4 linked regions of the Diceros bicornis minor genome follow. The protein of the gene in region 2 interacts with the protein of the main gene of each other region in a biochemical or structural test. Links are inferred from orthologs where the notes say so. Each region holds a gene or a part of one and is shown on either strand. Other genes may lie near its edges. The genes, in order: CRADD, RIPK1, BIRC3 and OTUD1.

What was found.
Region 1: the proteins of RIPK1 (region 2) and CRADD form a complex in vitro, tested with the Homo sapiens proteins (2 studies listed by BioGRID). The link is inferred for Diceros bicornis minor from reciprocal best matches to the Homo sapiens genes RIPK1 and CRADD.
Region 3: of the proteins of RIPK1 (region 2) and BIRC3, one has a biochemical effect on the other in vitro, tested with the Homo sapiens proteins (5 studies listed by BioGRID, with this or other methods). The link is inferred for Diceros bicornis minor from reciprocal best matches to the Homo sapiens genes RIPK1 and BIRC3.
Region 4: of the proteins of RIPK1 (region 2) and OTUD1, one has a biochemical effect on the other in vitro, tested with the Homo sapiens proteins (2 studies listed by BioGRID). The link is inferred for Diceros bicornis minor from reciprocal best matches to the Homo sapiens genes RIPK1 and OTUD1.

What each region holds. Positions count from the first base shown.
Region 1 is NC_080764.1:28,287,082-28,294,944, forward strand, and holds the start of CRADD (death domain-containing protein CRADD), read right to left. Parts: upstream 3,061-7,863; 5' UTR 2,970-3,060; intron 1,722-2,969; 5' UTR 1,716-1,721; coding exon 1,418-1,715; intron 1-1,417. UniProt on the Homo sapiens protein: Adapter protein that associates with PIDD1 and the caspase CASP2 to form the PIDDosome, a complex that activates CASP2 and triggers apoptosis.
Region 2 is NC_080753.1:63,207,932-63,215,162, forward strand, and holds the start of RIPK1 (receptor-interacting serine/threonine-protein kinase 1), read right to left. Parts: upstream 3,063-7,231; 5' UTR 2,947-3,062; intron 2,937-2,946; exon of another isoform or gene 2,758-2,936; intron 1-2,757. UniProt on the Homo sapiens protein: Serine-threonine kinase which is a key regulator of TNF-mediated apoptosis, necroptosis and inflammatory pathways.
Region 3 is NC_080746.1:32,654,484-32,661,993, forward strand, and holds the start of BIRC3 (baculoviral IAP repeat-containing protein 3), read right to left. Parts: upstream 3,123-7,510; 5' UTR 2,401-3,122; intron 2,114-2,400; 5' UTR 2,039-2,113; exon of another isoform or gene 2,004-2,038; intron 1,546-2,003; exon of another isoform or gene 1,435-1,545; intron 1-1,434. UniProt on the Homo sapiens protein: Multi-functional protein which regulates not only caspases and apoptosis, but also modulates inflammatory signaling and immunity, mitogenic kinase signaling and cell proliferation, as well as cell invasion and metastasis.
Region 4 is NC_080775.1:22,910,013-22,917,735, reverse strand, and holds the start of OTUD1 (OTU domain-containing protein 1), read right to left. Parts: upstream 3,039-7,723; 5' UTR 2,672-3,038; coding exon 1,229-2,671; 3' UTR 1-1,228. UniProt on the Homo sapiens protein: Deubiquitinating enzyme that specifically hydrolyzes 'Lys-63'-linked polyubiquitin to monoubiquitin.

The sequences.
Region 1 (7,863 bases), on a different chromosome or scaffold from region 2:
ATACCAGCAAAAGACACTGGGCACCCTAACATTTCTCTTAACATCTCCCCAATTCAATGTTATTTATTCTGCTTTCAATAAACTGGTAGAAGTGTCTTAGATACTTTAGTTTGGCTTTATTCACACACCTGGAGTATTTAATTTTGTAAAGACAATCCAACCCAAGAATTCCTGTGGTCCTCAAAGGCCAGCTATTTTCAGTATTTCAAAAAAGCCTAAAACCTACATTTACCTATAATTTGGCCACAAGGGGAAATGAAAATATTTTTTCTTTTTCCACTGGGACTTTACTAGGCCTTCCTAAGTTAACTGGTTATCTTATGCTGATCAGATATTCAGACATATGTCATTAATAAAAATAGAAGAATTAATCAGGATTACTTAACACAGGTGGTCTGGAAAATCAATCAGAATATGAGGTCCATGCGGCAAAAATAATAAAGGTGGTCTTTTATTACTGGTATTTGTTTTTTAACCAGTTATATTGGTATTTAAAAAACAGCAACAGCAAAGTCGGGAGACCACTGACTTGGAGTAGTTTATCAAACTACTAGTTTGATAGTAGTGATAGTAGTTTGCTATCAAAAACTCCAGAGAATGTTGATTTCCTAAATCTGTTAAACACGCAAGTCAACTTTCAATTTTTTTTTCACCAATTCAGTTCTCTGCTCCTTAATCTTTGTAAAAAGGAAAAGTCATGGGAGGAGTTAAGAGGGAACAAGTGTTTCATATCATACCTTCTTCCTGTTACAAGCCAGGCTAACAGCACCAGAACTCTCTTTTCCATAGCTTCCAATTTTCCTTAAAATCAAAATGAGCCCCTCCTCAAACTACTGTCCTTACAAAACTAAATACTCCGGGTGTCTGAAGAAAGCCAAACTAACAAGGATGACTTGAAACCAATAACCTTTAAAAGCAAACTAAGTCAGCCTTCCAAATTATCCCCTCTAGCCATGGAGGGCAGCCCAGGGAACAGGTGTAAGGTGTGCCTTCCTAAAGGCTGTCTCCTCCTCTATGAACCTGACCTCTTCTTGCCGGCAGCTCTGGCACCCCATGAACCAGTTATCAGTAGGCCTAATGCCTGCTTTCCCATCTGCACTTTCCAATGGTCCTGATGCCAACGACCTGGCTCTTGGATGAGAACATGCCTCCCAAGTGACTTGCCAAGTTTCCCTGGAAGCATTTCTAAATGTATTCTCTGAGCTCCCTCCTGAACCTCTCAATCATGCTTCATCCTTCCTTCCTTCCCTGCACTTCCTAATTCCACCTCCTCATCCCGTCCCTCCAATGCCACGTGCCTTCAGTCCAAACTCCTTATTCACTTTCAGGAACCGCCATCCCCCTCCCAGCCTAAAACCCCAACTTCAAATCCAAAGGACACAGTTCCATCAATTCTGGAGCTCGTCTGAAGGCCTACCTGCAGGCAGCTCAGTTAGGGCTTCTTCTCTTGCCTTCTCCAGCTTCTCCCTCACCCAGGGAAATTCCTGCAGGGAATCTAGGAACGCATCAAATGCTTTAGGACCTCTGGAAGGTAGGATATCCAGCAGCAGCATTGTTTTCCGGAGGCCTGTGGCTTGAGCTTTGATTTCTTGAACGTGGTTTTCCGTCAAGACCCCTTCCTGGTAAAGATACTGAAGAACCAGGCCCTCCACCAGTACCTCTGCACCCAGCTCCAGGCGATGGGAGCGCAGCACTTGCTTGTCTCTAGCCTCCATTTCCTCCTGGGAAAAGACAAAATCCACAGCTCAGATTACAGGAATGCTGTTGAGCCCCTACAGATGGGGTCCTGCAATGTATGCTCCTTAAGGTCATGGATATCTTTGAATCTTACCAGAGTGCCAGGCCACGGTGTTTCATACACGGCTCTTGAGCCAAGCCAAATTAATTTCAAATGTTTCTAAACATAATGAACAACACTGAACATGAATTATCTTTTCTGTTTTTGCTTTCCACATAATGGGTCCTAGCTCAATTCCTTGTTCAATAAAGAGATCTGGAAAAACGTGAGGTCAGAGACCCTGCTTATAAAACAACTTGTATCTGAGGATTACAGAGCAGCATTTCATCTTAACACACTTGAGAAGAAACAGTGCTTTTATTTTAACATTGCCTTCATCAGAGATACCCCACCACCACAGAAACTGCCAGTACGCATACAGGTGCCCTTTGGACCACGGGCATTTTTAGAACCTGATCAGCAATGGGAGTGGGGCCAGAAACCTGCAGGTACCAAGAAGTTTAAGGATCATCTCCCCCATGAGAAAAGGCCTATACACCATCACGAAAAACATTTACTAGTGTTTGTGCCCAGTCTACAATAAACCTTATACATAGTCACAGACTCCATCCCTTCCCTCTAAGAATTCAGAATCTCCATCACAACACTGCCGTGGCCACACACATATGGGTCACTGAATGGGATTTTTTTTCTTAAAAAAAAAAAAAAAGTCCACAGGCCAGTCCCGGTCAGTGGCCAGCAGGACTGCCCGGCATATTTCCAAGACCACTGCACCAGGGAGCTGAGGGGCGGGGGTGTGGTGGCTATGAGGGTAAATAAGGGGAGGCGCGCCCCCCGCCCCTGTCCCTCCTAGCACCCTCTGCGAAGTCCGGGAGGTGGCAGGGGAGGAGGAGGATGCGCACTTCGGACTGCTAGCGCCCATGTGGAATTTCTCTTTATTCCCTGCCTCGCCAGCTGAAGCCCTCTTGTATTACGAAGAGAAAGAACTAGGAGAGATTTTCCGGGCAACCTGACTCGCTAAAAAGGGGGTGCTGGGAATGATCTTCAGAGCGGACCGAGGGCAGAGTGGATCCCCGGCACCCCCACCGCCACCCCACCCCGGGCCGGCTCTAGAACGCCGCCAGCAAGTTAGGGGGGGCGGGGGAGCCAAGCAGGGCCCAGGCTGCAGACGCCACGGCGCGGGACCTTGAAGAAAAGATGGATACGGGGTTTCTGGATTCCTGTTACTTACGTCTGCAAACACGTATCTTAGGGGAAAAAAAAAAAAAACTGCAACCGGAATCCAGACTGTTAGGGAACCTGTACCATAAGCGCCATCTTTGTTGAAGGCGAAAGCCCTGAACAGGAAGTATCGTCGCCATCTTTGTTGAGGGCAAACACAGGAAGTGCTGTAGCCATCTTTATTGGGGGCCCAAGTGTCAGACTGAAGCCCTTTCCGCCATGTTTGCTGTGGGTAAGCGATATAGCTGCCTGGAGATGGAAAATAGTTGCATCACTTAGGGGGTTATCTAAGCAAAGGAGTGATTGGATGATTGCTTTTTAACACAGTAACTCTACCAGTACCTTGCACACAATTGGCATAATAGATAGTCAGGTTTCAAAAGTCACCTTAATCAGCGAAGCCTTCCATGACCCCTCTATTTAAAATTGCAACACACTCGCATTCATTTCCTGCAGTCTCCTTCCCCTTTTCCAGCTTTATTTTTGTCTGTAGTATGTATCGCCATCTTACTAAAACTTTTGCTTAATCATTTATTTATCATCTGTTTCCCTTCACTAAAATGCAAGGTCATTTCTTTATATCACAGTGTGCCTGCCGGTAAATAGTTTACAAGTCAATCAGTCAGGATTCAGTTGCAGCCATCAGCTAGCTGCTCTAGACAGAAAGGGATTTGCCATAGGAAATTGGGGACATTCACAGTCATTGGAAAGGCTGGAAAAGGTCTGGGCATCCAAGGATGACTCCCTAAACAGCACTGCCAAACTGGCTCCTGGCCATAATCAGGAAGTTGGAGTCAGGAAGCCACCACTCCACAGTCCCAACCTTTTCTCGACACTGACAGAGCAAGTGACTGGACATTGGAATGCTCCTGCAGAAAAAACAAGGTCTCCACAGCTGTATTTGCCAGCAGCATCAAAACAGCATCTGCAGGGCCGGCCCTGTGGCTTAGCGGTTAAGTGTGTGCGCGCTGCTACTGGCAGCCCGGGGTTCTGATCCCCGGCGCGCACCGACACACCGCTTCTCCCCCCCGTGCTGAGGCCTCGTCCCACATACAGCAACTAGAAGGATGTGCAACTATGACATACCGCTGTCTACTGGGGCTTTGGGGAAAAAATAAAAGGAGGAGGTTTGGCAATAGATGTTAGCTCAGAGCCGGTCTTCCTCAGCGAAAAGAGGAGGATTAGCACGGATGTTAGCTCAGGGCTGATCTTCCTCACAAAAAAAAAAAAAACAAAAAAACAAAAAAAACCAGCATCTGCAAATCTTACTCTGATGCATGCAATTGGTGAAACCTAATTCACATGCAGAACATCAGCAGCGAGGGTGTGTGAGGCATGTAGTTTGGAGTTTTCCAGCTTCTGAAGCACAGAAAGACATGCTAAAAAGAGAGAGGGTCTAATACTGGGGGCCGATCTGCTGAGTTCACCACATTTTTAATTTGGAAGGCAAGACAAGTGCAAGATCCAAATATAGAGAGATAAAATAATGTCAAATTGAGGGTCCTTCCTCACATTTCTTTATGAAATGAGGCAATCAACAAATATTCATTGATTCACTTTTAAATCAATTGGGTGATATATACAGAAAGTCATTCACCTGCTAAAAGTTAGTTGACAGTAATAGACAAAACCCTCAAATATCGTTATTTCTATAGAGGTTTTCACAACCAACACCTCTAGTGGTGTTGATGTTTCATCATCAACAGTGATGAAACTAGTGAAGATGAAAATATCTTTGTAAGCAAATCAATGGAGAGCAATTCTAGACCTCCCTCCTCAAAACCTTCGAATTTTTGTAAACAGTTTAAAGTGTTACTATGCCAATATACCATTTTACTATACCAGCAGTGACAATATTTTTATATGGATGGCAAGTATTATTATTATGATTAGCATTTTACATATGTGAAGACTGAATCAAAGTGGGCAAGTGTCTTAGCCAAAATCTGACAGCTAATACATAGCAAAACCTGAATTCTAACCAGTTTCCTCTGATTTCATGCGCTTTCGAGTACACAGTACACCACACAGCCCTGTACGGTAAGAGTCTCTTGTTCTTATGACAGCCAAAATATCTGCAAATCATTCTGGTGCCACCTCTTACTCTTGGTACTTTTGAATTCCAGGTACTCTCTTCACTCTCTCCCTCTTCTTTTGTTTTGGAATTGCTGTCCTCTCCTGGGCGAGATTGCCCTCCTGTATGTAAACAAGTGTTAGCAACATTCTCTGTCTTCCTCCAGATAAAATGCAGACCTCTTGTGATACTACCCATAGCTGAGGTTACAGACTTTTAGGGGAGGAAAAACAAGTGTATTTTTTCCAACTGTAAACTTTGATAATTCTTAAACATATAGTAAAGTTGAAACAAGTAGCACAGAAAATAGCCAGCCATGTAAAACTACCTAATTTAAAACATCAACATTCTTGATGACTCGCTGTATTTAGAAAGGCTTGAGATCTCCTGGAAAATAGAAGAAGACATTGATGATGTCCAGGAGGAGGTAGAGAGCCAACAGTGTGTTCCATGACAGTTCACAGAAGAGAAGACAAGAGAGTGAGAGACAGCATGAGAAGAGTTAGTGCAGGAGCTGAGAGGCATGGAGTTCTAATGGTGAACAACCTGAGAGGTTGGCTATTAAGGATCTGACTTAAATCTACGGGTGAAGTTCTTGACCATGAAATTCTTCTTCCTATGGCAAATTTAGATGCACATCCATGCTGCCTCCTAAGCAACCATGCTGGGTTTCTGATTGACTAGCCAGCTGCCATCAGTCAGCTTGCTGGAGGACCACCACCCCGGGCTAGCATACAATGACACATCTGAGCAGCACACCAAAGATTCAGCCTCACTTATATAAATATCTAAGGCCAGCAAGCCCCGAGAGAATCAAAGACAGATCAGAATCACTATCACAGATGGTCACGCCTCCACTCTGTCCAGTCCCTCTCTGTGGGCTGGAATTGTGCCCCCACGGAGGATTAAGCACCTGTTACCCAGTGGTAACAAATCCATTTTTAGGAAGGACAGATATTTTCCTTTTTCTCTCTCCCCACCATATTTACTTGTGTCAAGATATACCCATTGTGAGTCTGCAAAAGAAAGAGTCAAAAAGAACAAGCATAGGGGCCAGCCCAGTGGTATAGTGGTTAAGTTAGCATGCTCTGCTTTGGACCCCCAGGGTTTGCAGGTTTGGATCCTGGGCGCAGGCCTATGCACTGCTTATCAAGCCATGCTGTGGCAGGCCTCCCACATATAAAGTAGAGGAAGATGGGCACGGGTGTTAGCCCAGGGCCAATCTTCCTCAGTAAAAAAAAAGAGGAGAATTGGCCACAGATGTTAGCTCGGGGCTAATCTTCCTCACCAAAAAAAAAAAAGAGAGAGAGAGAACAAATGTAGTGTTTTTCTGTCTTTCAGTTTGGTCTTTGGTTTTACAACCTTCAAAACAAAAATCAAAGGAGTTGGATATTTTTGGTTCTTCCTGTTTTACAGATGTGGAAATTAAGCCATGGAGAAAAACAGATTCTTTTCAAGCACACTTGAAACTGTTACAGAAATAGGTCATGAATCGAGTCTCAAAGAAACTTCAATAAATTCCAAAAAATCAATAGCACACAAACTATGTATCCTACCATTTTACAATAAAGTTAGAAATTTTAACAAAAGGATAGCTTCCATAAATCCCATACGTTTGGAAACTAGGTGCAACAAATCTTAAACTCTTGAGTTAAAAAAAAAGTCACATATTTCTATTGGCACAGCCACATGGAAAACAGTATGGAGATTCCTCAAGAACTTAAAAAAAGAACTATCATAAGATCCAGCAATCGCACTTCTGGGTATATATCCAACGGAAATGAAATCAGTACCTCGAAGACATATCTGTACTCCCATGTTCCTTGCAGCATTATACACAACAACCAAGTTATGGAATCAACCAAAGTGTACATCGACAGATGAATGGATAAAGAAAATGTGATATATATAAAATTCAGCCTTAGAAAAGAAGGAAATCACACCTATTAGAAGGGCTAAAATCCAGAACTCCGACAACACCAAATGCTGAACAGGATGTTGAGCAAAAGGAACCCTCATTCATTGCTGGTAGGAATGCAAAATGGTACATCCACTTTTGGAAGACAGTTTGGCAATTTCTTACAAAAATAAATATACTCTTATATGATCCAGCAATTGTGATTCTTGGTATTTACCCAAAAGAGTTGAAAATGTATGTCCACACAAAAACCTGTACATGGATGTTTATAGCAGCTTTATTCATAATTGCCAAATCTTGGAAGCAACCAAGATGTCCTTCAGTAGGCGAATATTATAAATATCTACCACAGAATATAAATATGTACCACAGAAAATAAATATACTGTGGTACATTCAGACAATGGAATATTATTCAGCCCTAAAAAGAAATAAGCTATCAAGCATGAAAAGATATGGAGGAAGCCTAAATGCACATTAGTAAGTGAAAGAAGCCAATCTGAAATGGCTATGTACTATTTGATCCCAACTATATGACGTTCTAGAAAAGACAAAATTATGGAGACAGTAAAAAGACCAGTGGTTGCCAGGGGGTTGGGTGGGGGGGGGGGATGAATAGGGAGGGCACAGAGGATTTTTAATGCAGTTAAAATACTCTGTACAATGCCATAATGAAGGATACATGTCACTATACATTTGTCCAAACCCGTAGAACATACAACACCAAGAGTGAACCCTAAGGTAAACTATGGACTTTGGATGATTATGACGTGTCAATGTAGGTTCATCAGTTGTAACAAATGTACCACTCTGGTGGATGATGTTGATAATGGGGGAGGCTATGCATGTGTTGGGCAGGGAGTACATGGGAAATCTCTGTACCTTCCCCTCAATTTTGCTGTGAACCTTTTGC
Region 2 (7,231 bases):
TGCTCCTAACTTAACTGGCCCCTGATCTTATTTAATCTTATGCATGGTTTCCATGATTCTTTTTGTTTTTACTGTTTGCCCTCCCCTTTCCCCCATGAAAAATTCAACTTCGCAAGCACTGAATATCTTAGGAAGGCCTTATGAGTGGTTTAGATACCCAAGAGTCACTAAAAAAAAAGCGTAGGCAGGTAGAAAACCACATCATAAAGCCATATTACAGAGTAATTAACGAAACACACTGGCCTATTATATCATGTTATGATACCTAATTTCAGCTAATAATGTAATTGTGTCCATTTTAATGGGATTTCTTAATGTTTTGCATAAATGGATATTAATTCAGGGACTCAGAGAAGCAAATTTTTTTCCACTAAAATTAACTGAAAATTCCAAGAAATTTCACAAACAAATTACTTTCTAAGGCAGGATAAGTCTATATATCAAAATATTTATATCAATTTTGTTTGTCAATTATACATCAATAAAACTGGTGAAAAATATAAATAAATAATAATTAATACCAAAAAGCCAGACAGAATTAATTTATGCTACTAACAGTCAGGACAGCAGTTAGTTACGTGGGAGACAGGAGGCAGTGAAGGACAGGAGGTTTCAGGAGTGATGGCAATGTTCTATTTCTTGACCTGAGTAACGTTCACTTTGTGATACTTCATAGAGCTATACAGTTATGATTTGTGCACTTTTCTGTACATGTCATACTTCAATAAAAAAGTTTTTAAAAAAATATTCATAGTTACCTTTCAGTGGTAGAGGACTGTTTTTTCAATTTTTCAATGATGACCACATATAATGAGTCTGACAGAAAATGTTGGTTGCCTACTTTCATTACCCCCCTTCTTACCTGCTAATAGAATTCTGATTTTACTCAGGTATCCAACATGGACTTCTCTAAGGTTCTCTGATTATTGCAGCTTGATGCTTTGCCCCAGATAAACAAGAGGTCTCAGCAAGCAAGAGCCAAATGATGAGTAACAGACTAGACTGAAAGAGTTTAACCAAGCATTATCATGTACACTGGCACATGATGAGCCCATGAAGTTTTATCATCATCATTCCAATTTACAAATAAAGAAACTAAAATTTAGAGTTAAATGATTCATCTAAAATGGCAGATCCTGGAACTGAACCTTCGCCTCTTCACTCAAACTTCCACTACTAATTCACTAACACTTGCTACTTCTCTAGATAGCAAATGATAAATCTGTCTTTGTTAAAATCAGATGCAAAGACCTAAGCTTACAGCCTTGCTCACCTACATTCAATGAGTTACGCTACGTTCAGAAACATGGGGAATGTACAAACTAAATTTTAAAAACATACGGTTCAAAATGAATATTCTACAGGTTAGTACACAATCATTTTTGCAAGAGTATAATATCCGACCAAAGCATGGGACACTATTTTCAAACTCCCAGATCATATTGGTGGTATTAACATGTTATGGATTAATAAGCACCAAATAATAGTTTGTAATTTTGGAAGTTGATATTTTAGGAATTTTTATTAATTCTCATTAACATTCACAATCCTGAAAGTACAACATATCTCTGGTCCTCAATATAGTGCAGAGGAAAACGAAAATTATAGTTAAACGTTATTGCTGTTTTATCAGTAATAATAACGATGATACACCCCAAATTTTAAGTAAGTTTAATCTTTGCTTTGTGTTTAGATGAGCTGTGGTTTTCCACATTTATAATTGACCACAATTTCCTCCTTACTCTTGCATCTACCTGGTGGTTACAAAATGCAAATCAAATCACTCTACATCCCAAAGTTCACTCTGTGCCTTGGTTTCTTCCAGTGTAAATCAGGGAAGAATTAAAGGTGGTCTAAAGACCAAAGGACTTCTGCAAAGTTGGTTGATTATTATAGCCTCAGACTCTGTATAAAATAAACAAGAGCTCTGAGCAAAGAAGAGCCAAATGATCAGCAAGACACAAAGAAACGAACAACACCCCCCATTTCCTTGTGGGGTTTTGTCAAATGCTTAGGAGAGGAGAATGTAGCTCAGCCTCTTCACAACCCTGAAGAGAATCTGCAGCACTTCACAAAAGCAAATGCCACCGACCACTGAAGAGGGCTCCTAGAGTTATGACAGGCATCCCTTTGTCGCTCTGGCTGTCGACCCTTCTTTCTCATCTGCCAACTCACTTCCAAGATTATGCGGAAAAGCTTTTGATTGTACTGGCAACCCGCTGCGGCCCCAAGTGCAGGAGTAAAAGCCCTTTGCAGAGGGTTGGTAAGAAGTCCCAGCCGGAGATATGCACCTAACCCTATTACGGCAGGAGCATACACTACTGTATCTTAATGATACTGCAATAAAAACCCATCATCCCTACCAAAACAACAACAACGATAACAACAAGGCCCCAACGTCACACCGTTATCGGGGCGCGAGGGCAGGTCTCCGCCCCTCTATGGATTTACACCTAAACCTCCGCGAAGACGAAACCAGGCTGGGCCTCGGACAGTCAGCTGTCTCCCGGCCGACTTCCGGGAACGCCACTGGCCTTCCCACCGCCCGACTTCCGGAAACGCCAGGGGCCTTCCCACCGCCCGACTTCCGGGAACGCCCCGGGCCCCGCCCACCACCCACCGGGCCCACGCCCCGGCTGACGGCCGGGAGCGCAGTCGCCCTCCCGCCGCCGCGGGCCGGGTCAGGAAGTCCCGCCCGCCCGGACGCCGCTCTCGCGGAAGCTGGGCGCCGCCGCCACTGCCTGCGCGCAGACGCACCCGAGCGCGATTTACTTTCGCTTCCGCGGTCAACTTCCCTAGGCCCGGGCGAGGGGAGAGCGGCGGCGGGGGAGTCAGGCAGGACTCCGCCGCGGCAGCACGCCCGAGCCTGACGAGGGGGTCACTGGGCGCGGAGCTCGGCGAGCTCGGGGAGACCGGGCCGCAGAGTGGCCGCCCCGCCCCGCTCACCGCGCCCGGCTCCGTGGGCCTGCCGTCCGGCGCGCGTCCAGCCGCGGCCCGCGCTCCCTCGCCCGCTGGACAGCGCGCCCGGGCGCCGCGAGTGTGGGCCCGCAGGGACCGCCGCGTCCGGGAGCCGGTCCGCTGTCCGCGCCGTTTCTCTTCGAGTGAGTGAGCTCGGCCGGCGGGAGGGCGTGGATTGCTCGCTCCGCCCCTGCCCCTGCTCCTGCCCCGGAGGAGGACCGGGCGAGCGCCCGCCCCTCGCCAGCGGGGCCTGGTACCCACGTTTAAAATCCCGGTGATCTGTCAGCCTAAGGGTTGCGGCTTTACTTTGTTTTAAAGCGAGTTGGGAGACCGAAAGAAAAGAGGAAATGTCACCTAGTCACAGAAACCTCCGCGGCGGAGAGGCAGCTTGGCCTAGCGGAACACGCTGGGTGAATTACCCAGGGGAATCTGAGCTCTGCTGCAGGCAAATTACCGTTCTTTTACCTTTCTTCACCTCCAAAGTGGGGATAATAACATCTCTGCGGGGCTGTAGAGGAAGAAATGTGATATTTATTTTGCAGCTCTTTAAAATGGCCATTGGGAAGTCTCAGGCAAAATAGGAAATGCTTGCTATAGTGTTATGTTAGAAAGCAAATTATATGCTCAGCATGATTACATATTGTAAAAAGATTTATACGTAAAGAGAATGAGAAGCCACAAACTGGGAGTAAATGTTTGCAAAAGACGTATCTGATAAAGGACTGTTACCCCAAATACACTACAAACTCCTAAAACTCAACAATAAGAAAAGGAATAACCCAATTAGAAAATGGGCAAAAGGTCTGAACAGACACGTCATCATACAGATGGCAAATAAGCATGGGAAAAGATGCTCAACCTTGTAGGTCATTAGAGAATTGCAAATTTGAAAAACAATGAGATACCACTACATACCTATTAGAATGGCTAAAGTCCAAAACACAGACAACACCAAATGTTGGTGAGGATGTGGAACAATAGGAATTCCCATTCATTGTTGGTGTCAATGCAAAATGGTGCAGCACTTTGGAAGAAAGTTTGGCGGTTTCTTAAAAAGCTAAAAATGGTCTTACCATAGGATCCAGCAATCACATGCCTTGGTATTTACCCAAATGAGTTGAATGCTTATGTCCATACAGAATCCTGCACATTAATGTTTATAGCATCTTTATACATAATTGCCAAAATTTGAAGGCAACCAATATGTCCTTCAGTAGGTAAATGGACAAAAACGCTGTGATCCATCCATACAACGGAATATCATTCAGCACTAAAAAATGAGCTATCAAGCCACAAAAAGACATGGAGGAACCTTAAAGACTTATTTCTAAGTGAAAGAAGCCAATCTGAAAAAGCTATATAATGTATGATTCCAACGATATGACATCGTAGAGAAGGCAAAGTTATGAAGACAGTAAAAAAAAAGTCAGCAGTTGTCAGGTTTGCAGGACGATGGATGAATAGGCGGAGCAAAGGCAATTTTTAGGGTAGTGAAACTACTGTGTATGATACTATAATGGTGGATACATTATATATTTGTCAAAACCCATAAGTGTACAACACAAAGGGTGAAACCTAATGTAAACTCTGGCCTTTGGTTGATAATAATGTGTCAGTGTTGGTTCATTGATTGTAACAAACATACCACACTGGTGTAGGTAGTTGATGGTGGGAGAGGCTTTGTGTGGGGGCGGGGGATAGAATATGTGGGAACTCTGTTCTTTCCACTCAGTTTTGCTGTGAAACTAAAGCTGTTCTAAAAAATACAGTTATTAATTTTTTAGAAAAGATATACACACATAAAAAAAGTGAAAGGGGTACTTATTCATTCAACAAACATTTCTGGCTATGCCAAGCAGGAGCTAGATACAAGAGTATCTGGTGGTAGATACAAGTGATTCATAGATATATACAAAGCACCTGTTCTAGGCACTAAAGACTCAGTTGTGAATAAGTCAGACAAAAAGCTCTACCTTTGTGGAGCTTACATTCTAGGGGGGATACTGGAAAAAACAAAAACAACAAAATAAATGCGTGAACTAGTAGGTTAGTGGTGAGCCCTGAGAGAGTAAAAGCACAAAGCTGGGTAGGAGATGTGCATGTATGTGTGGGGAGCATATCAGAATTTTAGATGGAGTGACCAGGAAAGATACCACTGAGAAGGCTTGAGTAAACAACTAAAGGTAGTGAGGGAGGGAGCCATGAGGGCATGTTGGGAACAAGCATACTGAGCAGGGAGGGAAGAGCAAGGGCAAAGGCTCGGGTGGGAGCACAGCAATGAGGTAGCTATGGAAGGAACAAGATAGTAGTAATAGAGGATGAGGTTGGAAAGGTAAGGCAGGGGGCTAGGGAGATTATGTGAGGCCTTTTAGGAAGTTTGCCTTTCACTCTGAATGAATTGGGGAGTCGTTGGAGGGTTTGTGCAGAAGAGAAGCATGCTCTAAATTACAATAGGATCAACTGGCTGCTGAGTTGACAATGTGCTGAAAGGAACAAGAGCAAAGAGGAAGATAAGTTTGGAGGTTATTACAATCATGCAGACAGGAAGAGGATGGCTTGGACAAGAGTGATGGCAATGGAGGCAGCAAGAAGTCAGATTCTGGATGAAATATGAAGGTGGAAGTGACAGGATTAGTTTAGAGATCAGAAACAAGGCGTGAGAAATGAGATAACTGGAAGGTTTTTGTCCTGAGCATAACTTGCAGGATGAAGTTGCTCTATACTGAGATGAGAAAGAATAGTGAGAACAGCAGGTTCGTGGAAATATCAGGAGCTCTGTTTGAACATGTTAATTTAAGATGTCTATTAAACATCCAGTTGGAGATGTCAAGTAGGTAAGTGGGTATATGAGTCTAGAGTTCAAGGAAGAGGTCCACGTTAGAAATACAAATTAGGAAGTCATCAACATGTGAATGATATGCTATAAGTCAAGATCATCAAGGGAGGTAATGAAGACAGAAAGGAAAAGAGGTCTGAGGAATGATCCTCCAGTGTTTAGAAGGTGGTGAGATGAAGAGGAGCCACCAGGGAAATGGGGAAACCAGGTCAGGGTGGAGGGGAGCCTTAAGAGGGTGATCAGGTGTGCCAAATGCTGCAAATATGTCAAGTAAGATGTGGACTGGGAATTCACCATTGGATTTGGTAACATGGAAATTGTCAATGACCATGACAATGTAAGTTTTAGTGGTATAGTGGGAACAAAAGCGTGTTTGGAGTTTGTTGTTATGCTGTTATTCCGACTCCTAGAAACACTGTGTACAGCAGAGCAGAACCCTGTCTGGTCTTTTTGTGCCATCCTCTCACCTTCCCGCAGTCTATCAGATAACACTCCGCTGCTATTCAGGGGTTTTCATGGCCAATTTTTTTGGAACTGGGTGGCTAGGTCCTTCTTCCTAGTCTGTCTAATCTGGAAGCTCTGTGGAAACCTGTCCACCATGGGTCACCCTGCTGGTATTTGAAATATTGGTGGCATAGCTTTCAGCATCACAGCAACATGCAGTCACCACAGTATGACAACCGACAGTGGGTGGTGTGGTTCCCTGAGCAAGAAACAAACCTGGCCATGGCGATGAGAGTGCCGAATCTTAACCACTAGACCACGAGGGCTGGCTGTTTGGAGTAGGTTCAAGAAAAAGCTGAAGGAGATGGGGAGGAAAATGAGAGACTGTGAGTATAGTTAGGTCTTTAAAGGAATTTTTCAGAAAAAGTAATTCAGATTAATAGGGTAGTAGCTGGAGGGAGAAGTAGAATAAAGAATATGTTAAGACCCCATATTTATTCCAAGATACTTTACAGCCCATTGGAGAAGCAATCATTCCATAAAAATAGAAATGTTATTTAATAAGGGTTATGATGGAGGTATGTGCCACGTGCTATGGCAACCAGCAAAGATTCTACTTGAGAGGAAGAGAAACAGGAAAGACTTCACAAAGGAAGTCACACTTGGGTTGAATCCTAAAGTATGAGCAGAGGACTTCCTATCCTGGTCTTGAAGAACATACAGAATGAATCTTTCCATTGAAAATAATAATGGAACATGGGCAAAATATATAAAATGACTGTTTGAAGGCACTGGAGAGAAACTAACACAGGGAGGACTCAAGAGGCTTCCGTCCTTGAGCAGAGGAAACAATATGAAGTGGCTTCTTGTTCATTCACCACAGCTTTTCTCTGAGGGCATTTCTCATTCCACACAAAGGATAATAGACCCGAGCAGAAAGTAGCCGTCTCACTGGTTGAGGAGTTTGGAACTTGAGGAGCAAAATCTCAGAGA
Region 3 (7,510 bases), on a different chromosome or scaffold from region 2:
TTTCTCCTCCACTACTCCCCATCTCGCTTTCAGTAGATTGCTTGGCCTTCTATTTCTCAAAGAAAAGAGACATCACTGAGCAGTAATCCTTTCACATTCTCAAATCCATGCTTATTTCACTCACAACCTACTTGCTGCCTCAGTTAAAGACACCTGCCCCTTTGCAGGATCCCATCCTCTCTCATCGCCTCTGAAATTTTGTTCTTAAGCCCATCCCCCTCACTTCTTCAACTCTTGCTCTCTACTGGCTCTTTTCCTCCAATATAATGAGCATGCTTAAGTCTGTCTCAGCTTTCAAATGAAAACAAACAAAAAAATCCTCTTTGGCCCCACTTTCCACTGGAGCAACTACCCTGTGTCTCACTTTCTCTTCACAGCCAAGAGAACTAACAAGTGTCTATGGTTAAGGTCTCCCACTACAATTAGCTTTAGCCAGCACCACTTAAAACTACTCTCGATATTAATAACAACAATCTCTTCTTTCCCAAAACCAATGGAAATTTTTGCATCTGACACTGGGGCCCATTTCCTCTTAGAAATGTTCTACTGGCTTGGCTTCTGTGATACCACCCTCTTGGAATTCCTCTTTCCTTTTTAGTGGTTCCCTCTCAGATTGGCTCAAGTCCCCAACCTCTTCTCCTCTTACACTTTCATTTCCGTTGGGCAACCTCCCTTATCCCAGGGTTGTTGTGTGTCTCTACCTTCTTGGGCACTTAGCATATCCATGTCTCTGAGACTGGGGGGTAAGTGTGCCTTTTCTTTCTTCCTCCCCCTAGACTGTGAGCTCCTTCAGAGCAGAACTATGTTTCAGCTCTGTTCCAGCCCTCCCACCCCCAACATCCATCCAGCCTGCCATATAATACAGACACTAAGACTTTTGGTTGAAGAAGTGAACGTTGGCAAACTTGACTGAGCCCCTCCATGACCATAACACTCTCATTTGCATGGTATTAAGGACCTCAATTTCATGTTAACTACAAAGTCTGCTCACTGACGGCTTAATGGAGTCAGACACCTTGGGTTTCCAATACTATTCAGTCTTCCCATACCAGGGGTGTGGCCTTGCTTGGGCAAGTAACTCTCCCTAAGCCTGAGTTTCCTCACTGTCAATGGAGATAATTATGGTAACTGCTTAAGACGGTGAGAATTAAACCTGAAAAACACATGTAAAGTGTTCGACAGGGGTCCTAGCATACTGGTAGGTATTAGCAACACCTACTGTTAGCAATAAATAATAGCAAACAAATTTAACATTATTGTTAGTTACTCTAGCATCGGGCAAATGCCTCTAGCACTTTGCTAACTAGATTAAGAGCACTACAGGGTTTCCATGCTGATCACCAGAGAAACAACCAACAATCTGCTTTCTGCCACCTCTTGGAAACAAACATTCCTTCATTTGTTCACTAAATAAAGATTTTACTGAGTCCTTACCATGCCTAAGCTCTGCTTCAGGCTCTGTCCTGTAGCTTATTTGGCACCCTCAAAGACCAGGTGATACCTCTTGGCAATCGAATTAAACCAATTGTCAAAGCTCTCCCATTCCACTTTCCCATCTCCTATTCCAGTTTCTTTTAAAAGTAAAATGGAAACTGAACACCGGCAGGAAGGCGGACGGAAGGTGAGGGCAGCGCGGGGCGGGGGGCACCCTCCCTCGCCCCGGGCCCCTGCCCTGCGCCCAGCGCCTCCCGGCGGCGGGAGAGCAAAGTCTCGGCGGCGGCGGTGGCGGGGACCGGCCGGAAGAGCGCCGGGAGGGGAGAGGCCCCCGGGCTCGCGGGGGACCCATTCTTTTGCCTGTCCCTGATCGGCTCGAGAGCCAATCTGGGGCCGACCTCGGGGCCCCGGAGCGGCGTTTGGATACGGTGCCACCCCGCTGACGGTCCTCCGCCGCGGGCCCCGCCCGCCCCTCCACAAGGAGCAGCGGACGCGTCCCCTACCCGCGCGGGAGGCGGGGAGCGCTTCACGCACACAGACACACGCGACACACTCACACGCACACTTACTCGCTCACAGCCTCGCAGCAGCCCTCGTCACCAACCTGCTGCCCCGAGGCCGATGCGCGCCAGCAAGGACGTCCTGGCCGAGTCTTCTCGGGTGACACCCGTCACCCCGCCTGTTCGGGAGGGCTAGAATGTCACGCTGCCTTTTGAATGTCTCACCCAGCTCGACCCACCCACCTCCCCACCCCCACCTCCATACACCCGGAGTCCTGTACTCCTCCCAGTGGTTTGCATGTGCGCTGGTGCTTTCCTCTTAGGACTTAGGGGAACTCCAGCGGTAATAACCACATACACTTCCCCTTAATCAATGGCCTGGCAAACCCACTCGGGGATTTCCATGACCCTAAAAGAGTGACTATTTCTTAACCGTGGCGTATCCTCGTGGCATTTACTGAAAGACCTTTGCTTCATTGTTCGTGGGTCAGAGGAAATCTTGATAAGCCGTGTAGAGACGATGATCACTGGTCTGCCTGACCGGAAAAGATCCATCTCCCATGTGATAAAAAGAAAAGACAAGACCAAAACTTTGTGACATCTCTCTGATAATTTTTACTTTCTGTTCTAAACAAGAAAGTAAGGCAGGAATGGAAATGTAGGGGTATGTAAAAAAATCACACATTTTCCTTTTCAGTTTATTTTTACTGTTTTAAAGATTGAGATTACCTTATTAGCTTCCTATATTGAAAGTTGGGGGGGGGCGGTGCGCTTTTTATAACTAAGGTAGAGCTGGCTGTAAAAACAATTCCTCCTTTTAGCCTTTTATCTCACAGGAGGGATCTCTAAGTTATGGTGATATTCTCATGGAAACCTGAAGTCTGAGTCTCACTGCACTGCCATGTTTTCCTCAACATTCTGTAAGCGATGAATTTGAGCAGCTTTATTTCAGGACAGTGCACGCCAGGGTAACGGATTGAGACAGCTCAGGTGATTTTCCTGTCTTCCAGTATATCAAAGGTGATCGGGAACCAAAGGCAGAACCCATAATATTATTCACGAATTCCTCATCCTGTGGAAAAAGGAAGGACGCCCGTTCTATTCAGTACAGTCAGGATGAGCTGGGGTATCTTCTAGGTGGATTTGGCTGCTCACAGCAGTTAGAGTTCCAGCTGGAATTATATCAAGAAGATTATCTATCATGTGGAGATTTCAATCCAATTTTGAACCTGCTAGTTCAAAATTTTATAAACCATTTCCCACTCACCTTTGAGATGATGGAAACCACTTTGTGGTCCTTATACACTTTTGATCAGGTACCTACCAAAAGAATTTTGAAAAATTCGACTTCTCTGCACTTTTTACCTTAACATTAAAACACAAACGCTGTGGTTGCAAAGGAACTACAAAATGTAGACATAGATATTTTAGATTAAAATTGATCTTGCACTGTTTTAAATTATTTCAATGAACTACAAATACCATAGCCATCTGATACCCATGATCATCCATTAAACAATTCATACATCAGCTCATCTTTAATAATTGGAAATATTATATCATTGCCGTTTGTCCTTGAATATTCTACTTCCCCCACAGAATTTTAATATATGTTTAAAATGGACATCTTTATGATCACTCTGGCACATATTTCTGAAACAAATATGTGTATAAATTGAAATTTAATTTTTTTCCTGTGATCATAAGACTCTAAATGTTAAAGAAAAATTTTTCCTTGATTGAATTATCATTGATACTACTTTCATTACTTATTACATGATTGGCCAAAACAATATAAATATGTTATAAATGTTGATAACTACTAAAGATAAAAAGTAAAATTCTATTACAAATGCAATCTTAATGGGAGTTGCACCTTATATTTGAACAGTTTTTTCAAGTATGTGTTCATGAATATTACCTATTACTGGAATATGGTAGGGTTCAGCATAGATTCTGTTCCTTTTTTTCGTTTCTTAAAATTATAAGCACTGAAAAACCTTTTTCACATAAATAAGTAGATAGGCCCAGAAGAAATGTTATTATATCAATTTTTTCACAATTTTTTGAACTTCTGTTTTATAGTCCAAAAACTCATTTACTGATCTTTAATCCAAAAATTTAATTAGTTATCAGTAGACAACTCAATTTGTTGAAATCAGTGACTTGGAAACCACAGGACTTTTGTTACCCAGATAAGGTTGCCAGAATTAGCAAATTAAAATACAGGACACCTAGTTAAATTTAAATTTAAGATAAACAACAGGTAATTTTTTAGTATAAGTATGTCCCTCTCAATAGAGTATTCACTGAATACATTATTCATTGATTATCCGCAATTCAAATTTAACTGGATGTCCTATATTTTATATGGCAACTCTATATCCAGATATTAGAGTCATTCATTTTCTCAACACTAACGCCAATTACTTCTAATTGTCCAGGAAGATTTTACACCCAGGGGCAATACACCATTTTAAAACACAAGATGGGTGAGAGGTGAGCCTGTCTTTTTTAAGAAGAGAGAACAACTGTGAAGAGGTTGGTGAGAAGACAGAACAGGCCTAGCAACCACAACAGCTCTTGTTTTTAGGCAGATCAGTTTTAGGAGCAACTATATGTAGAAATCGAGGATCAGGTGGTTAATTCCCTTAAAACTATTTGCGTTCCCACTTGCCCATTACTAAATCTTTGTAAAGACTTGGTAAGTTCACTCAAAGGAACACATCCCAATTTAAAGACCATGGCCTAGGAAATCCTGAACTGACTAGAACTCCCAAGTTCTTCAAACTAGTAAAGAGAGTTGGGATCAGACCTATGAGGGCCTGGAGTGGATCAATATGTCTCCTTTGCAACATTCTGTAACACAATTATTGATTTTTTTTAAGTAATTTTTTTCCTGTAACAATTCTAAGTTGCATATGAGCAAGGACTGTATATATTTTGTTCACTGCATTATTCTAGTACTAGCAGGGTACCTGCAAATGTAGGCGCTTAATAAATCTTTGTAGATGACTGACAAAAATGGAGTCAATCTATCCACTTCGGCCTTTTCTATTCTAAATCTGCACCCAAATTTTTGATAGTGTAATATACTTTACATTTTCCCTCTGATCCTTTGAATATCCCAAATATTTTATATAAAAACTCCCCTTTTGCTCCCAGCATCCAGCTTATCTAAATATATTTTCTCTCCAAATACTCTTTTACAGGCAGAAGTAAAAGAAATGTTTGAGAAAGTGACAAGGTAGACAGACACATGGCCATCACTATCTCTAGTTTGCCAGTTTTTCTCTCTGTTAATGTGTAAGCAGGGTGTGAGAAGTGTGTGAGATGCTTTTTCATCCCACTCCTGGTTTGGAACTTTGAGAACTCTTAACAGTGGTGTGTTCTCAATATCCTATTATTAAACAATCAACTTTAAAGTATTTTTTAACTTGAAGGTAATCATGATAAAAAATATTCTTTCTCTGGAAGGAATTTCACATAATAATAATGCTGTAACAACTTCAGTTCCAGCCTGATGCTATTTCACTGTAAGTTTTTACATTTTTAATTACAGAAATACATTATCTAGGAATCTAGGACTGAAAGTAAAAGTGAAATCTAACAAAAGAACCATGCTGTTCTGATCCCAAAATAAATGTAAGAATCATTGTCAATGCTAGGAATTTCCTAGTCTGTTGACAACTGCATATCTTACAGATAAAATATGATTAGATCAGCCTTGAACAAGTGCTGATGAATTTACAAAAAAATATCTTTTAGTACAGATGGACTCAATGTTCTCAATGTGGTGAAGTTTGCCCTTATAAATGGTTGGTTACTTTTGATTTCTTTGTTTGACAGTACTTTAATGACATATAATTTACACAGTCTAAACTGCAAATATCTTAAGTGTACAGCTCATGAATTTTAACAAATGTATATACTTGGGTGACCATCAACCAGAGCAAGATCAAGAACATTTTCCATCACACCAGGAAATTTCTTCACGCCTTTTTCCTGTCAGTATCTACCTATATCCCCCATCCTCCAGCCTCAACCACTATTCTGATTTCTATCCCCATAGATTTGGTTCTTGAACTTCATATAAATGAATCACACGATGTGTACCCATAAGGGGCTCTTTCACTCAATATAGTTTTAGTTTTATCCACATTGTAGCATGTATGAGTAGTTCGTTCTTTTTATTGCCAAGTGGTATTCCACTGGATGAATATACCATAGTTTATCTGTTCTCCTGCTGATGGACATTTGGGTTGTTTCCTGGTTTGGTCCCTTGTGAATAGTGAAGCTATGAACATTTCAGTTCAAGCCTTTTTGTGAATCTATGGGTTCATTTCTATTGCGTAAACACCTGGACATGGAATTGCCATTGGGTAGGTGTATGTTTATTTTTATTAGAAACTGCCAAAAACTTTTACAAAGTATTCGCACCATTTTACACTCCCACCGGCAATATATAAGAATTCTAGTTGCTGAACATCCTTCCTAAGACTTAGTATTGTCAACTATTTGAATTTGACCTCTTCTTTTGAATGTGTAGTGCTAGCTCATTATGCTTTTAATTTTTATTTCCCTGGTGATTAATCATGTTGAATATATTTTCATATGCTTTTTAATTATTTAGATATCATCTTTTGTGAAGGACCTTTTCAAATCTTCTGTCCATTTTTAAATTGAATCAATTGACATTTTATTATTGATTTAAGGGCGTTCTTTACATATTCTGGATATGAGTCCTTTGTTATGTGCATTGTGAATACTTTCTCCAAATTGGTGGCCTGCTTTTTGTCTTTATTAACAGTTTCTTTTAATGAATAGAATATTTTAATTCTGATGAAGTCTAATGTAACAATTTTTTTCTTTTATGTATAGTGCATTTTATATCCCATTTAAGAAATCTTTACCTACCCCAAGATCATAAAGATTTTCTTCTATGTTTTCTTTTAGAAGTTTTGTGATACTAGCTTTTACACTTAGGACTATGATTCATCTCAAATTAATGTTTGCATATGATGTGAGTTGAGGACCAAGGTTCATTTTTTTCTCTAAATATTATTCCAACACAATTTATTGAAAAGAATCCCCTCCCCACTTAAGTGCTTTAGTGTCTTTGTCAAAAATCAATTGAACTTATACACGGCAGTTTCTTTCTGGACTCTCTATTCTGTTCTATTAATCTATTTGTCTATCCTTATGCCAGTACCATACTGTGTTTATCACTGTATCTTTACAGTAAGCATTGATATCAGATAGCGTAAGTCCTCTATCTTTGTTCTTTGAAACTGTTTTGGCTATTCTAAGTTTTTTAAATTTTCATATAACTTTTAGAATTGTCTTCTGAATATCTTGTTAAAAGTTGCTGGGAATTTGATTAGCATTACATTTAGTCTATAGATCAATTTGAAAAGTATTAACATTTTAATGTTATTGAGTCTTCTAATCCGTGAGCATGGTATATTCCTCCATCTATTTGTCTTCTTTGTTTTCAGTACAAAGATGTTTCTCATCCTTTTGTTAAGTTTATTCCTATTTCATATTTTTGATGCTATTTTAAATACTATTTTTTA
Region 4 (7,723 bases), on a different chromosome or scaffold from region 2:
CATTCATTCCATCAGCTGAGAATTGCTCTATTGTACAAATACAATATTGTACAAAAAAAATCACAAAATGTTACAAAATAAAAAAGTACAAACTGCATTACTTAATAAATATGACTAAAAGTAGTTAAAGTGGAAATGAGATATTTTCAATTGGGAACACTGTTTGACCCAGCAAACCATACAAGCTCTGTTTACAGACATTTTTATTTGTACATAATACAGGGCAATCCTACTTTGCCTTCTGAAAGAATTTAAAAGGAACAAAATATTAAGACAGTATTCTCCTGCTATAAAATAACTGCCAAGGTTGGTTCCAGGCATTTACGCTATTAATTTTTAAATCTCTTAGTTGAATCCAAGATGCTATATAAAGCAGGCGGCTTATCTTGTCACAAAGTCTTCGACCATGTTAAAATTCATTTATAACAAAATGACAAATATAAATAAAAACAATTCAAAGCACCAGACAATCTACTCTAAACATCAACCAGAGTACAGAATAATCACTCTGCTGTCAGCAAATATCAGACTTTCATTCAAGTAAGAGCTGGTACTATCCCTTAAAGAAAAAAAAGAACTCTTCCCACAACCTTCCCTTAAGTATTTCTCTTTAAAACGTTGACCATTTCTAGAAAAATAATGATTTCCAAAACAAATCTGTTTGTTTCATCAAAATGGAATGGGCCTATCATCTGGTAACACGAATGCATCAATATCCATTTGAAATAATTACCTAAGAACTGCAAAATTCAAATTCAACAACATAAAATAACTACTAAATTCACAAACTCTGTTCAAAATAATAAACTTCATATAAAGCACTTCTCTGGATTTATGCCGGAAAGCTGTTTGTCAAAATGGAACACATCATAGGTGAAGGTACACCAATTTTTAAAAATGTTGTGCAAAAATACATTTTTATAGAAAATAGATTACCAGGAATGAACAAATTTACACTATGAGAAATCAGCTTGCAACTTATGTAGTGCCAACTTTATACAGCAAATTATAAATAGCAATAAGATCACCCAAAGCTATCATGAAACCTCATTTAGGTGCCCAGCAACCTTCAGCTCTGAGAAAACATTCAAAAAAACGATTAAGGCATCACACCTACAGTAAATCTACTAGGAAGTTTAAAAGTGCTATTACCCTGATTCGAGTTCATATAATTCTCCAAACACAAATTACGTATGCAATTCTCCCAGGGTGTAGGTTTTCAGACACTTCACGAGCATGCATTTTGTTCGATATACATTTTGGATAGGGATATGGCCATGGACTTCGCAAGTTCTTCATCGCGTTTTCTTTGCACTTGAGTCTGCTTGCACCAACTGTCGTACTCTGGATTGGGAAAGGAGTGATCGAACACCGCATCATAATGTCCATTACTGAGCCAACTCAGCCAAATACTAGGCCTTAGGGAATCCTCCGGGCCCAAATAGTGAATCATGGTCGACACCGTGGGGCTCTCCAACCTCCCTCCAGTCGTTAAGTGGATATTCACATTCAGCATCTGCCCCATGGCCAGCAATTCCGGGTACCCGGCCCAGGCCCCGTCCTGAGCAGCAGCGATGATGAACTCGCCCACGTCGCCCTCAATCAGGGGGCTGAAGTGGTCGAGGTGGTCGGCGATGTAGTGCACCGTCTGCTCCCGCAGCTCGCGGTGCAGGCTCTGGTCCCCGTACACCGTCTTGCTGACCGCTCGGTAGAGGCAGTTGCCGTCGGGGATGATGTGAAAGCGGTACTTGTTCCGCTGGCGCAGGTACTTGTCCTGCCTCTCCACCTCCGCCAGGTACAGGGCCAGTTTCTCGTCTCTGGGATCCGACCTGGCCACGACCACCGCCTCGGCCGCGCCGCTCGGGGCGGCCTCCACGCTCCGGGCCGGGGGCGCCTCGGCCTCGGGGTCGGGCCGCCGGGCCTCGTCCGCGCCGGGGGGGTCGCCGCGCTCGCCGGCCCGCTCCCAGCCCCGGCAGCTCCTCTCGGCCGGGCGCTCCTCGGCCCACGAGCCGGGGCCGGGCTCCGGGCTCCCCGGTGGCGGCGCGGGGCCGCGGTGCTTGGCGGCGGCCAGGGCCTGGCGATGCTCGCTCAGTCGGAAGTTTCTGTCGGGCCCCTCCCGGGCCGCGTCCAGGCCCGCGGGCTCGGGGCCGTCGGGCCGCAGCAGCTCCTCCAGGAGCCAGGCCGAGGAGCCGCGGCGCGGCGGGACCGGGGCGCCGGGCGCCGGGGCCAGCAGGAGGCAGCGGCCGCGGGGCGCGGCGGGCGCGGCGGCGCCGGGCTCGGGCCCGTGCAGCAGGAGCCGGTCGGCGCCCAGCGCCCGCACGGTGATCTGCGCCGTGGACGTGTAGTGCGGCGGCCGCGGCGGCTTGCAGGCCCCGCCGGGCGGGCCGGCGGCGGCCGAGGCGGGGGCGGCGGCCCCGGCCACCATCTCGAAGCAGGAGGAGAAAGCGGGCATCTTGGCGGCGGGCGCGGCGGCGGCTTCCCGCGGCTCGGCGGCCGCGGCGGGCTGGCACTCACCGGTCTCCGGCTCCGGGGCGCCGCTGGCGGGGCCGGGCGGCTGCAGAGAGACCTTGAAGGGGGCGCTGGCGGCGGCGGCGGGCGGCGCGGCGGCTGCGGCCGTGGGCCCCGGGGCCCCGGCTGGGTAGTGGGTGCAGACGCTGCTGTAGAGCTGCATGTCCCTGCCCGCCGCTCGGCCCCTTATAGGCGCGGCGAGCCCCGCTGCGGGGGACACACCCTCCGGGCCCGGGGGAGGGGGCCGGCCGAGCGCAGTGACCCAGTGCCCCGAGAATAGAAACGACCGGAGGGCCGCCGGCGCGTCAAGAGCCGCAAATAGCGCCCGGGTCCCCGCCAAATTCCTGCTGCGCCACAGCGCGCGGGGGGAGGGCGGGGAGGGGCCGCGCGCTCGACCCCGGCCGGCGCGCTCGGCCCGCAGACCCGGGGCGCCGCGCCCGCTGCCGCTGCTCCGGCCCGCGCCGGCCGCTGGGGACTCTCGGAGGAAGCCGCCCGCCCCGCTGGAGCGCGTCCCGCCGGCGAGGAGCAGAGCAGGGCGCGCGGAGGGGCGCGGAGGCGGGGCCGCGGTTGTTTACCTCAGGCCGCGCGGCAGCGTCACGTGGGCCCGCTGGAATGTGCGGCTCGTCGCGGCGCCCCATTCAAGCGCGCGCCTCGCCCCGCCCCCAGGCCCAGGCCCCGCCCCGGCCGGCGGACGTCATGGGCGTGGCCCGCGGCGCTGGCGGCGGGCGGGGCACCTGCGGGAGAGCGCGATGGCCCTGGGGCATGCGCAGTGACGGGATTTCTGGCCGCTTCCTGCAGCCCTGCTGCAGGTTTGGGCGCCGCGCAGCCGTGCGCTCTGCTGCGGATAGTGGCGGGGTGGGCGCTGCCTAGGGCCGGCTAGAATGCTTTGAAAGCGTGCGTTTGGAAAGAAGCTTCCAGGCTCGGTGTGGCGGACGGAGCGCTGCCTTGAAACCTGCACGGCCTCTGCCTAGTCGGGAGCCACTGCTCCTGCTTCTCTTCACCAGTGCCGTCTTTTTGATTCAGTTCCACGTCAAAATGTTAAGGTCGCCTGACGCCACCTATCCTCCCCAGCACCTTGCTGCCCTGCTAAACTGAAACCAACTTTCCTGCACCCCTAACCCATGTCGACTAGCAAATACATGATTTGGGCCAAAGGAAATTTTTCAAACAGCCTTTCGGAATACCAAATACCATACCGCCTCCAACCTTTTGAAAATAGGTGTGGCTGCTAACCACAGGTCAGAGGCAGAGCAGCGAGTCGGGTTTGCGTTCTGGGGCGGGGTAGCATGTTGACAACAGTTCTGCCGAGCTGTGTTAGTAGTACCCGCTGTGTAAAGGAAAGCTGCAATATTCGCACGAGCAACGGCGTGCTGACTGGTAGCGGCCCGCTTGTGCTATACTCGAAGCTTTGATCAGATGCTAAATTAGCAGGCCCTAACTATCTAAATTGAACCTAAAGCCTACTCCACCGTTTTAGAGGTGGGGAAATAGCCATAGGTTATGGTATATGCCTCCCCCGACCCTTCCGCTGGAATGCAGATTCCAGCAATGGAAAGACCTCGGCCTGTTGGCTATCACAGTTATGTCCTTAGCACAGTTCCTGGCGCATAGTTGGAATGAATTAATATTTGCTGAACGAATTAATTAATGGAAAACGAGTTCCCAAGTATTCTCATTTAGTGGAGAAGCCAGAATTATGATCCGTCTCCTGACCCTAGCCAGGGCTTGTATTTGCCATGGGGGTTACTACTGGCAGGATCCCAGCGGCAGCCGTTTACATGGGCCACTCCAACCTGTAAGGTATGTCAGCACAGGAGGGGGTAAGACAACTAAGTTTATGGCTCACCGTCTTTTCAGCTTCTGGTGACACCCTATTGGGAGCTTGTAGCCGCCATTGGCTAACTAGAAAAAGGGAATTACTTAGATTTCATCACTGATTTGGGGGTATCTGTTGCTCTGCGTATTAAATGCACTGAACTCTGCCTGTAGCCTTTCGGTAGCTGGTGTTCTGAAACAGAAGACAAGACAATTAACAATAAAATAATCCTCAGGGGCTGCCCCGTGGTTTAGCGGTTAAGTGCACGCGCTCCACTACTGGCGGCCCAGGGTTCGGATCCCCGGTGGGCACCAATGCACTGCTTCTCTGGCCATGCTGAGGCGGCGTCCCACATACAGCAACTAGAAGGATGTGCAACTATGACATACAACTATCTACTGGGGCTTTGGGGGGAAAAAAAAAGGAGGAGGATTGGCAATAGATGTTAGCTCAGAGCCGGTCTTCCTCAGCAAAGAGAGAAGGATTAGCATGGATGTTAGCTCAGGGCTGGTCTTCCTCACAAAAAAAAATAATAATAATCCTCAGATAATATTCACTGAGTACCCACTGTGTGCCTAGCAAAGCTAGCATAACAGGAGCCTGGAGGACTACAGGGAACCTATTAAAATTTAAATCCTGAACGAGAATGCATTTTAACAGAGTGGGGTAAACACAGGGAAAAAAGTTAATGCTAGGTACATAGAGGACAGGCTAGGTCTGATGTACCAAATTTAGGAGCAAATATCAACAAAGATGTGAAGATTCAAAACTTTAACATAAGTGAAGGCTCTTTTTTTCCCTTTCAGTTTGTGTGGGAGTGGTGGACTATATAAGACTGCATATTCACTGTGAGAATCAGGGTCTCCTCTGCATCTCAGTCTGGAGAATCTTGGAGGAAATGGTACTTCCGGCAACTCGAAGCAGAAATGATTGTCAGCCTTGGAAATGGGAGTTGTTTTTTGCCCTTGGAGTCTATAAGAGAAGGCAGGGCCTTGCAAGTGATAGTAAAGAGAGGGAAAGAGGGAGAGGCAAATCCAGTTCCTTGATACTCCTGAAAAGAATTCCTCATGATTCTCTTCTGGAATATCATCCGCCCGGCACATATACCCGGCATATTTTGGTGCTATGCAGAAAATTGGCAGAAGTTTAGGAAAATAGGATTCTAAACCAAAATTACATAGTTATTGAATAGGTGAGAAAAACAGGAAATTTCAGCAACTATCAACCAAAAGGTAACAAAAAGACAATCAATAGGTTAGAACAAAACAAAAAGAACAAGGCATTTAATCAATGAATATTTATTGAGCACCAGTTTTGCTACCAGCATGGCGCCAATTACAGAGAATTCAGAAATGGTTTCTGTCCTGCAGCCCAGGCAGCAGAAACCTGGCCACCAAAGGCATCTTTATAAAACAGGACCAATCCTGGCATGTTTTTTGAAGGTACATACATCTACATACCACCATCTCTTAGCTAGATTCCTTTAAAGATAATAAAAGTCCCAATCTCTTCTCCTCCCCCCAAAATAAAACTTTTAAAAATGTAAACGTTAAAAAAAAAAAAAACAGTTTCAGAAGAGCCTGTGTGTATATGTGTGGTCTATGCCTCTATGTATGTACATGACTACATGTGGATGTGGGTGTGTGTCTGTGTGGTGTGCATGTCTGCAATGTATGTATGAATCCTGTGTGTATATCTGTGGTGTATGTGTGTGAGTTTTCTGAGATTGTCTACAGTGTATGCATGTGTGTAAGATATGTGTGTGTGCCTGTGGTGCATATGTGTGAGTTCTGTATGTGTGTCTTCAATGTTTGTATAAATTCTGTGTCTGCAGCATGTGTGTGACTTCTGTGTGTGTCTGTGGTATGTCTGTGCTGTGTGTGTGTTTGTGGAATGTGCAGGTGAGTCCTGTGTGTGTGTGTCTGTGGAGGTGTGTGAATTGTGTGTGTGTGGTGTATTTGCATGTGAGTTCTGTATATGTCTGCAGGATGTGTGCATCTGTGGGGGGGTGTCTGCAGAGTGTGTATGACTTCTGTGAGTGTCTGTGGGGTGTATGTGTGAGATCTGTGTGTGTGTCTGTGGGGTGTGCATGTGCCTACCTATGTAGCCAGTATCAGGAGGTGAATAAGAATCTGAGCTCTGGAGTGAGAGAAGCCTGAGTTGGGTTCCTGCCTGTCACATGGTAGTTCACCCTGGACAAATTATTCAGTTCCTCTATTTCTAGTTTCTTTATCCATTAAAAAACCATCCCCTCCTTCCCATGGGCCATGTGGGAACTGGATGGCAGATGTGTGAGAAGTGCACAGCACTGTGTCTGGTGCTCAATGAAGTGTAGCAATTGTCCATCCTTGTCGTATTCATAGAGACGTGTCTAGACAGACATTATCCAACATCTTACCCAGCTGGGTGGTAGGAATTGCGGTGTTTTTAATTTTCTTTTTATAATTTTCTGTATTGCTTGGATGTTTTGCATACATATGTGTTATCTCTGTAATGAAAAAACCAATACATGGTCTTTTAAAAAAATGTAAACATTCATCCATTTATTCATTTATTAAATAATCATTTCTTTATAAACCTAATATGAAAAACAATCTTGAAAAAGAACCAAGTTGGAGGACTTAACGCTTCCTGATTTCAAAACTTACTACAAAGCTACAGTCATCAACACCATGTGGTACTGGGACAAAGATAAACATGTAGATCAATGGAATAGAATTGTGAGTCCAGAAATAAATCCATATGTTTAGAGGCAATTGACTCTGACAGGGTGCCAAGACAATTCAAGGGGAGAAAGAATAGTCTTTTCAACAATGGTGCTGAGAAAACTGGATATCTGCATACACAAGAAGGAAGCCAGACCTCTACCTCACAACATAGACAAAAATTAATTCAAAATGGATCAAATATAAGAGCTAAAACTATTAAATCCTTAGAAGAAATTAGAGGCGGAAATCTCAGTTCCCATGGAATAGGCAATAGTTTCTTAGATATGAAAGCACAAATAAAAGAAAAAATAGATAAACTGGACTTCATCAAAACTAGAAACTTTGTCCTTCAAAGGACACCATAAAGAAAGTGAAAAAACAAACTAAAGAATGAGAGACTATATTTACAAATCATATATCTGATGAGAGACTTGTATCCAGAATATATAAAAAGTCTTATAATTAACAATAAAAACACAAATAAGTCAATTTTTAAAATGGACAAATAATTTTTTTTATAATTTTATTTATTTATTTTTTCCCCCAAAGCCCCAGTAGATAGTTGTATGTCATAGTTGCACATCCTTCTAGTTGCTGTATGTGGGACGCGGCCTCAGCATGACCGGAGAAGCGGTGCGTCGGTGTGCGCCGGAGATCCGAACCCGGGCCAACAGTAGCGGAGCGCGCGCAC